Oryctolagus cuniculus: one gene and its partner. The protein of the gene in region 1 purifies or fractionates together with the protein of each later gene. This does not show direct contact. Links are inferred from orthologs where the notes say so. Each region holds a gene or a part of one and is shown on either strand. Other genes may lie near its edges. The genes, in order: SNX33 and DNM2.

Region 1 (4,400 bases):
TCCCAAAAGCTGTGGGGGACCTACCCAGGCTCTGACCTTGCAGAGCCCGGCTGCCCTGGGTGGGGACAGACACGCTTGTGAGGTTTCTTGGCTCACAGACTTGTCAACCCCTCCCATTTTCTCGGCTTGGGCGTTCCAGGCTCACCGGCCCAACCCTCTGGGAACTGGGCGCTCCAAGGAGCAGCCCTAAGTGTCTCTGACATATGGATGCACAAATTCCACTCTGTTCCGCGGTGTACTTTCTGTGCACATTTGTACCGGGGCTCTCAGTTATGGCCAAACGCCAGCCCTGCAGGGGGAGTCAGATCCTCCTCCTGCACCCTGAGTCTGAGTTTTGGAGCCACAGCCCTCCCACCCCCAACAGCCCAAGGTACCCAACAGGAACAGCACCACCTGGTGCCAGTTCCTCTACAGCAGGAAGACAGCGAATGCGGGGGCAGCAAGTTTAGCTACAGGGCACCGCCAAGGAAAGAGGATCAATGCTGAACTCGTTGGCACCTCCTCCTCTAGGAGGCCTTCCTGGATCCTTGCTCCACCCTGGCTGAGGCGGGTGCCTTTCCTCCCACTTTTCTTCATGACGCTTCTCCCGACACACCTGAACTTCTAGAAGGCGAGCCCACCCACCCCCCCAGGCCTTATTTGTCCCTGTAGCCCGAGGGCCTGGTGCAGTCGCTACCCTGTCGATGCTTCCTGAGCGCAAGACCGAATAAATCAGAGGCGGAATGGATGGGGACCAGCGGGGGCCCCCAAGGCAAGAGGCAGGCAGAGCCAGCGACCAAAGAGGTCCCGCGGGCCAGAGGTCGGGACCCACCGCACCCTCCTCGTGGCCGCCGCTGTCAGGACAGGACACGCAGCCCTCGCCGTCACCCAGCGCCGCGGCGCCCGGCCTGCCAAGGCTCGTGCCCCGTCGCCGCAGGTGTAGGCGCCTGCCTTTCCCGCGGACGAGTCGCCCGGAGCACGGCTGTTCCTGGCCGTATCTGCCTGGGGGAGGGCGCATCCCTGGCTCTCCACGCCCCGCGCCCGCGGCCCGGCGCTGGCGCCCTCCTGGCAACCCGGCGCTTTGCAAACTTTCGGAGTTTTCCTCCACTTGCGTCACGGAAAAGGCAGGAGGGTGGCCGAGGCCGGCTTGCAGGCGGCGGCGGCGGCGGGCGAGCTCCCCCGCGTGGCGCTCGCAGTCCCGGGGGCCCGGGGGCGACTCCGGGCCGCGGGCGGGCTGGGGGCGGGGAGGCGGCGCCCGGGGCTCCTGTCCCGAAGACTCGCAGCCGGGCGGGATCCCAGGGAGCCTCCTCGCTGCGCTGCCGGACGGTGCAGGGCAGGGGCGCGCCCTCCGGACACCGCGGGGCGCGGGGCGCGGGAGGGGGCCGGGCCACGCGGGGCGGAGCCGGGCCGTGCCTGCCCCGCCGGGCGGCGCGGAAGTGCGGCGGACTTCTCCCGACTCCCCAGCCAGCTTCTCTCCGCCCCCCGCGCCTCCCCTCAGTCTCGGACGCCTCCTCCCGGAATCCCTGTTTTTTTTTGTTTTGTTTTGTTTTGCTTTGGAGCTGGCTTCTCTCAGGCGGCGAGTGCGGGCGAAGGAGGCTGGGGGGCGCAGCCCGTCCCCCCACCGGCTGGGACCCGCGGGGCGGAGCGAAGCGCGGACGTGGAGCCCACTCTCCGAACTACTGCTGAGTTGAGCGCACGGTGCGGGGCGGGGGTCGTGCGCACGGGCGCTCGGGGGTGGGGAGGAGGGGATCCCTGGATTCCGATCGGGGTCAGCTTCAGGCTCACAAAGTGTTGAGGAATTAGGCAAACAAAAGAGGCCGCCCAGCCAGTGGCCAGAAGTCGCGCCCCCTCCTCCCTGGGGTGAGGCCAGATCCCGCAGGGGCGAGGCGTTGGCAGTCTGCTGCGTGCCCCCGGCCCGCGGAGAGGCCGGGCACGTCCACCCCTGGCCTCGACGCAGGAGGCTGCTCCCGTCGCCCTTGGATTTTTGAGAACCCGGTGGACCAGGAGGAGGAGGAGGAGGAGGAGGAGGAAGGAGGAAGGGGCAGATCTGCGGAGGAATGTGAGCGCCTCCCCAGGCCAGCGCAGCCAGAGGAGCTGGGAGCCAGCGGGCGGGCGGGCCCTGCCTGGGTTTCTGCGCCGCGATTCCCAGGGACTCTCTTCTATTTTAGAACATTGCCCCAGTGGAAAGCGTCGGATTCTTGCCCTGCCTTGCATAGCTGGCTCCCGCAGGTCACTTGACTTTTCTTCTGGGAGTGGGAGGAGGAAGACCATGGCCGGGAGCCCTCCCTCCCTGGAAGCACATGGCCAGATCCCTGATTGGGCCGCTGCTGGGCCCTGGACACTGCTTTAAAGAGCGGGCGGCTGGACAGCATCCGCAGGTGCAGAGACCCCACCTCAGGAGCCGGGAAACTGAGCTGGGGAAGGAACCTTGGACATCTTAGTGAGTGGCCGCGAGCTGGGCAGGACCCGCTCCTTCCAGTCCCTCTCGACCCCCTGCCCCCGGCCCAGCCATGGCTCTGAAAGGCCGGGCACTCTACGACTTCCACAGCGAGAACAAGGAGGAGATCAGCATCCAGCAGGACGAGGACCTGGTCATCTTCAGCGAGACCTCGCTGGACGGCTGGCTGCAGGGCCAGAACAGCCGCGGCGAGACCGGGCTCTTCCCGGCCTCCTACGTGGAGATCATCCGTCCCGGCGCCGCCAACCACGTTCACGCTGACCACTACAGCGGCGCTTCTGCCGGCTCCCTGGGCACCCAGGCAAGCTTGTACGACAGCCCCAGGAGCGGCGGTGTGCCCGGCTTCCTCTCCAACCAGGGCAGCTTCGAGGACGAGGAGGACGACGACTGGGATGACTGGGACGACGGCTGCACGGTGGTGGAGGAGCCGCGCGCGGGGGGCCTGGGCACCAACGGGCATCCCCCGCTCAACCTCTCCTACCCGGGCGCCTACCCCAGCCAGCACATGGCCTTCCGGCCCAAGCCGCCCCTGGAGCGGCAGGACAGCCTGGCCTCAGCAAAGCGGGGCAGCATGGTGGGCCGCAACCTCAACCGCTTCTCGTGCTTCGTGCGCTCCGGGGTGGAGGCCTTCATCCTGGGGGACGTGCCCATGATGGCCAAGATCGCCGAGACCTACTCGATCGAGATGGGCCCTCGCGGCCCCCAGTGGAAGGCCAACCCCCACCCGTTTGCCTGCTCTGTGGAGGACCCCACCAAACAGACCAAGTTCAAGGGCATCAAGAGCTACATCTCCTACAAGCTCACGCCCACGCACGCCAGCTCGCCCGTCTACCGGCGCTACAAGCATTTCGACTGGCTCTACAACCGGCTGCTGCACAAGTTCACCGTCATCTCGGTGCCGCACCTGCCGGAGAAGCAGGCCACGGGCCGCTTCGAGGAGGACTTCATCGAGAAGCGGAAGCGGCGGCTGGTGCTCTGGATGGACCACATGACCAGCCACCCGGTGCTGTCGCAGTACGAGGGCTTCCAGCACTTTCTCAGCTGCCTGGACGACAAGCAGTGGAAGATGGGCAAGCGGCGAGCCGAGAGGGACGAGATGGTGGGCGCCAGCTTCCTGCTCACCTTCCAGATCCCCACGGAGCACCAGGACCTGCAGGACGTGGAGGACCGCGTGGACACGTTCAAGGCCTTCAGCAAGAAGATGGACGACAGCGTGCTGCAGCTGAGCACCGTGGCGTCGGAGCTGGTGCGCAAGCATGTCGGGGGCTTCCGCAAGGAGTTCCAGAAGCTGGGCAGCGCCTTCCAGGCCGTGAGCCACGCCTTCCAGCTGGACCCGCCATTCAGCTCCGAGGCCCTCAACAGCGCCATCTCCCACACGGGCCGCACCTACGAGGCCGTGGGGGAGATGTTCGCCGAGCAGCCCAAGAATGACCTTTTCAAGATGCTGGACACACTGTCCCTCTACCAGGGCCTGCTCTCCAACTTCCCCGACATCATCCACCTGCAGAAAGGTAGGCTCCGGGGCGCCCGGACCCTCTGCCGCTCCTTCGGCATGGACGTGGGTTGCTCGCGGTGGCTGGCGACTCCCTGCGTGCCGGGGTAGCGTGCAGGGCGTGGGGTCCCTGTCCTGGGGGGCCTCCTTGTTTGCCTTCCTCTCTGTGCCTGACCCACTCACACCTCATGCACGGAGCCCCTGCACTCTATCGGACAGGGCTCTGGGGTCACGGAGATGAGCCCCTGGGTGCAGGGGGCACCCCGGCCGGGTAACAGAGCACGGTGTGCAGGCCCGCTGCCCAGCAGCCCTGCTCCCGTGTCCTTGTGTCCTATCTGTGGCCTCCTATCTCTGTCCCGGAGGAGCTCTGTCCCCGTTCCCAGAAGAAGGAACAGGTGCCCACAGGAGGGCAGCGGCATGGGGCGTCCACGGCCCAGCTGGGACTGTCCCTTCCTCCCGCCGTTTCTCCAA
Region 2 (3,796 bases), on another chromosome or scaffold:
TGTCAGGTTCTCCCCCAGCTGTCCTGCTCCAGATGGTTTGGGGGTGCTCTGGCTGTGCCCGGCACTGGGGCCTCCCAGCAGCCCCAGCTCTGGGAAGGCCGCCCCCTCTCCGGAAGTCTTCATGCCCCGGGGGAGGCTGTCCTCACCCCGTGTGTCAGGTGAGGGAACGAGGATCTGAGCAGTGGCTTGTCCTGTGTCACAGCCAGGGAGGGCTCTGCGTGCGGGTGTGCCGCCTGTGGACCCGAGGGACGCCCCACCCTTGCGTATCAGTCACTGTGCTCCGCCCAGCCCCAGCACAGTAAGGTTTGGGGTGAAATGTGGAATCCCCCCCATGTGGGGCTGCACTCATCTCTAGGAAGTTTCTGGAACCCCAGCCCCACCTGCGGGGCCCCGTCTGAGGTGCTCTGTGCATGTCTGGAGTCCCCATGGAACATTCTAGAACCGAGACCAGGCACAGCCTTGTCCCTGCCCCAAGCCCCTTGAGGAACCCACTAGTCTGAATCAGAGTGGTTCCTCAAAATAGCCGGGCTGGGGGGTCGGGGTGACCCTTGGTCCTTCCCCCACCCCCATCCTGCCCCCACCGTCGGGAACGCGCCTGCCTTGGACGCAGCAGCTGCCGGGTGCGCGGGGGCTGCTCTCAGGGCTGTGGGGGTCTTCCGAGCTCCCCGGGGCAGTGGGGGCTGGGCTCCTGGGCCACCCCAGCCCGGCGGTGCCCCGTGTGGTGGCCTCAGAAGCCCGGGGTTCAGGGCCCCTTGGATTTCACCTGCGCAGGGGCCCCTTCAGTCTCCCTGCATCCAGAGAGCCAAAGCGGGAGCCCCCGCCCTCCCTCAGGGCCCCAGACCGGCGGCAGGGGGAGTATGGGCCCGAGGGGCGGGCGCCCGGGGAATGAGAACCAGCAGCCTTGTGGAAGCGGCCTGTGTGTGCCCCACACACAAAGCGGGGGAGGGGGGGCAGGCGCACAAGTGACCACCCGGCAGGGCCCAGCCTGTGTGTGCCCGACACAAAGCTGGCGGGGGGGCAGGCGCACGAGTGAGCGACCCCCCCACGGGGCCCCCTGCCACCTCGCTGCAGCAGCCTGGGGGTGGCGAGCTCTCAGCAAACAAAGGACGCTCCCTGCCGTGGGGAAGGGGCTTGGCCCGGGACCCCCCAGCTCTCCCCAAGCCCCCCCCACCCCGCACGCCCCTCCTCTGCTCCAGACCTTCTGTCTCGTCCCCTCCGCAGCGGGAAGCAGGCTGGTGGCAGGTGACACTCACCTGGGGCGGGGGTGGGGGCCGTCCGTCGTGCCGCTGGCCCGGGCCCAGCCTAACCAATGTGCAGACTACTGTACACATCTGGAGTCCCCTGAACAGGTAGTCTGAACACTGGGCGGGCGGGGCCGGCTGTCTCGGGGCCCCAGGCCGCGGGGCCCCCGCTGCGCTGCAGCCATGTGCGCGCGCCGTGCGGCCGCTCCTCGGTTCCTTGTGACGTGGCAGGGCTGGGGCCGCTGCGCATCTGGAGAGAGCTGTGGGTTTTCAGGAAATCCTACGGCGGGGGGAGGGGCGGGGGCGGGACGGAGGGTTTGGGTCGGTGGCCTCTGTGCACCCGAGCAGCTGTCTTTGGGGGCCCCGGGGCGGGGAGCAGGGGCGCACGCATGCCTCTGCGCGTGTGCACGCGTGCTCGCGTGTGCGTGGTGTGTGCTGTCGGCTTGAGCAAGGCAGCCGCCCTGGTCCCGGGCAGGATCTGGCTCTAAACAGTTCCAGATGTGGCGTCTCGCGCTGGGCCCGATGGCCCGTGACTCAGTGACTTGGCCTGGCCGGCTGGAAGCTTCCTGCCTCTTGACACGCGAGGGTGGGGGCCGCAGAGGCCCTTCTGGAAACTTCCAGGCAAGGGACAAACGCGCCTGCACAGGCCCCCGCCCTGGCCACTGCCAAAGCCCCCACAAGCTGTTCCCTGAGAGGCTGGGGAGACCCAGGCCCTGCATCCCCGGGCCTTGCCTGGGACCCCTGGTGCTTTCTGAGCCACCACCCACCCCTTGGCCCCCAGCCTGCATGGGGGCAAGAGTGCCTGTACTGCCATGGCCGCTCTACCCTGTCCCGCCCCCAGCCTGCACCTCCCACCTCTGACTGAAGACCCGGGAGGCAGAGAGAGGGAAAGCCGACTTTGACCACCGCCAGGCAGGGCTCCTGAGGTCACGGAGCTGGGCCCAGCCTGCCCCACGCCCCATACAGATGCCCGAGCCTCGAGCCAGCACCCACCTGCCAAGGAGCCCCCGCCGGGCGCCCCCCACCCCACTGCGGCTGTGTTGGATTTCTTTCTGGGCCCTTGCAGCAGCAGGGGGGAGGCACGTGACGAGTCTGGAAGCCCACGTGGTGGAGAAAGGCCCTGGGGGTGCGGCGTGGACAGAGAACTTGGCTTTGTGTCAGACGGGCCTGGCCACCTGCTGTGTGGCCCTGGGCAGCCAGCGTCCCTCTCTGAGCCTGGGGCCCAGCCTGCCCGAGACTCCTGGCCAGCACCCACCTGCCTCTCTGAGCTGATGCGGGCAGAGCCTGGCACTGGGCACTGGGGGCGGCTGCGGCTGCGGCTGCGGGTTACGTGTGGTCTCCCGCCCTCTCCATGTAACTGCTCCAAGGAGCAGTGGCCGTGGCACTGGAGGGGTTGCCCGCCTCAGCAGTGGGGGCTTCCAGGCCTGGCACGTGGGTGGCCCTTCCTGAATGGGGCTTTTTCCAGCTCTGGGGTCACCCACGAAGCCACAGCCCTGTCCCCCTCTGTGCCTCAGTCTACCCCACCGTGAAATGGGTGCATGATGCTTGTCGTGGAAACAGCCTAGGTCGCTGTCCGTCCCCTCCGTCGAGTGACAGCTTAGAATGTGAGAACTCCCTGTGTGAGGGTTGCCAGGGTTGAAACAGGGATGGGAGCCCCCGCCCTCCAGTCCAGGTGGGGGACACCTGTCCGTGCATAAGACAAGGTCCGTGGTGGGTGGGGTTCTGTGAGCGGTGCGTGGGGAGGAGTCCAGGAAGGTCCCCTGTGCCCGGATGTGGGGCAGCGTCCCAGGCAGAGGCCCTGGAGCAGGTGCGTGGCTGTGCTGGCGGCGGCACAGGACGCCCTGGGGTCACGTCAGGGCCCCGGGTGACTCCTCGCTTGCATCCTCAGGAAAAGGAGAAGAAGTACATGCTGCCTCTGGACAACCTCAAAATCCGCGACGTGGAGAAGGGCTTCATGTCCAACAAGCACGTGTTCGCCATCTTCAACACGGAGCAGAGGTGAGGCCCGCGGCCCGCCCCGGGCTCTCGCGTTCTACAGAGGGAGTCGGCGAGGAGCAGGAAGACACTGCAGGTGCCGCTGACGCCTCTCTGCGCTGAGACGGGGGTGCAGGGAGACCGCCAGGGCCTGGGGAGCCACCGAGGGTTCTGGGCAGAGCAGGGACAGGGCCTGGCTCGGATGCTCACCGGCGCCCTCTGATGGCTGTGGCGGGGATCACAGGGCAGTGGAAACTGGGCTGGTCCGAGGACGTGGGGAAGACAGGATGGATTCTGGGTGCCAGAGAGAAAGGAGACATGGACAGTGACCTTGGGGATTTGGGCCTGTAGCCGCCATCGGCAGAGATGGGAAAAATGAGGCAGGGTCATTGGGCAGTCGGCAGCAGGTTTGGGGCCATGCGTGGGGGAGAGGTCACAGGGGTTGGGGGGAGGAGGCTGTGGGCATCTGGGCAGGGGTGGGGCCCGGGAGGAGTCACTGCCTCCACAGCATTCAGTCTGGAGGTCAGGCGAGCGGGCGGGGCCCTCATCAGGAACCAAGGCCTACGGGCCACAGAGCTCAG

What was found.
Region 2: the proteins of SNX33 (region 1) and DNM2 purify together in Homo sapiens (co-immunoprecipitation; 3 studies listed by BioGRID and IntAct, with this or other methods). This does not show direct contact. The link is inferred for Oryctolagus cuniculus from reciprocal best matches to the Homo sapiens genes SNX33 and DNM2.

Annotation. Positions count from the first base shown.
Region 1 is NC_091443.1:108,361,694-108,366,093, reverse strand, and holds the start of SNX33 (sorting nexin-33), read left to right. Parts: upstream 1-1,388; 5' UTR 1,389-1,677; intron 1,678-2,147; 5' UTR 2,148-2,489; coding exon 2,490-3,948; intron 3,949-4,400. UniProt on the Homo sapiens protein: Plays a role in the reorganization of the cytoskeleton, endocytosis and cellular vesicle trafficking via its interactions with membranes, WASL, DNM1 and DNM2. Acts both during interphase and at the end of mitotic cell divisions.
Region 2 is NC_091447.1:66,760,672-66,764,467, reverse strand, and holds part of DNM2 (dynamin-2), read left to right. Parts: intron 1-1,253; exon of another isoform or gene 1,254-1,489; intron 1,490-3,129; coding exon 3,130-3,239; intron 3,240-3,796. UniProt on the Homo sapiens protein: Catalyzes the hydrolysis of GTP and utilizes this energy to mediate vesicle scission at plasma membrane during endocytosis and filament remodeling at many actin structures during organization of the actin cytoskeleton.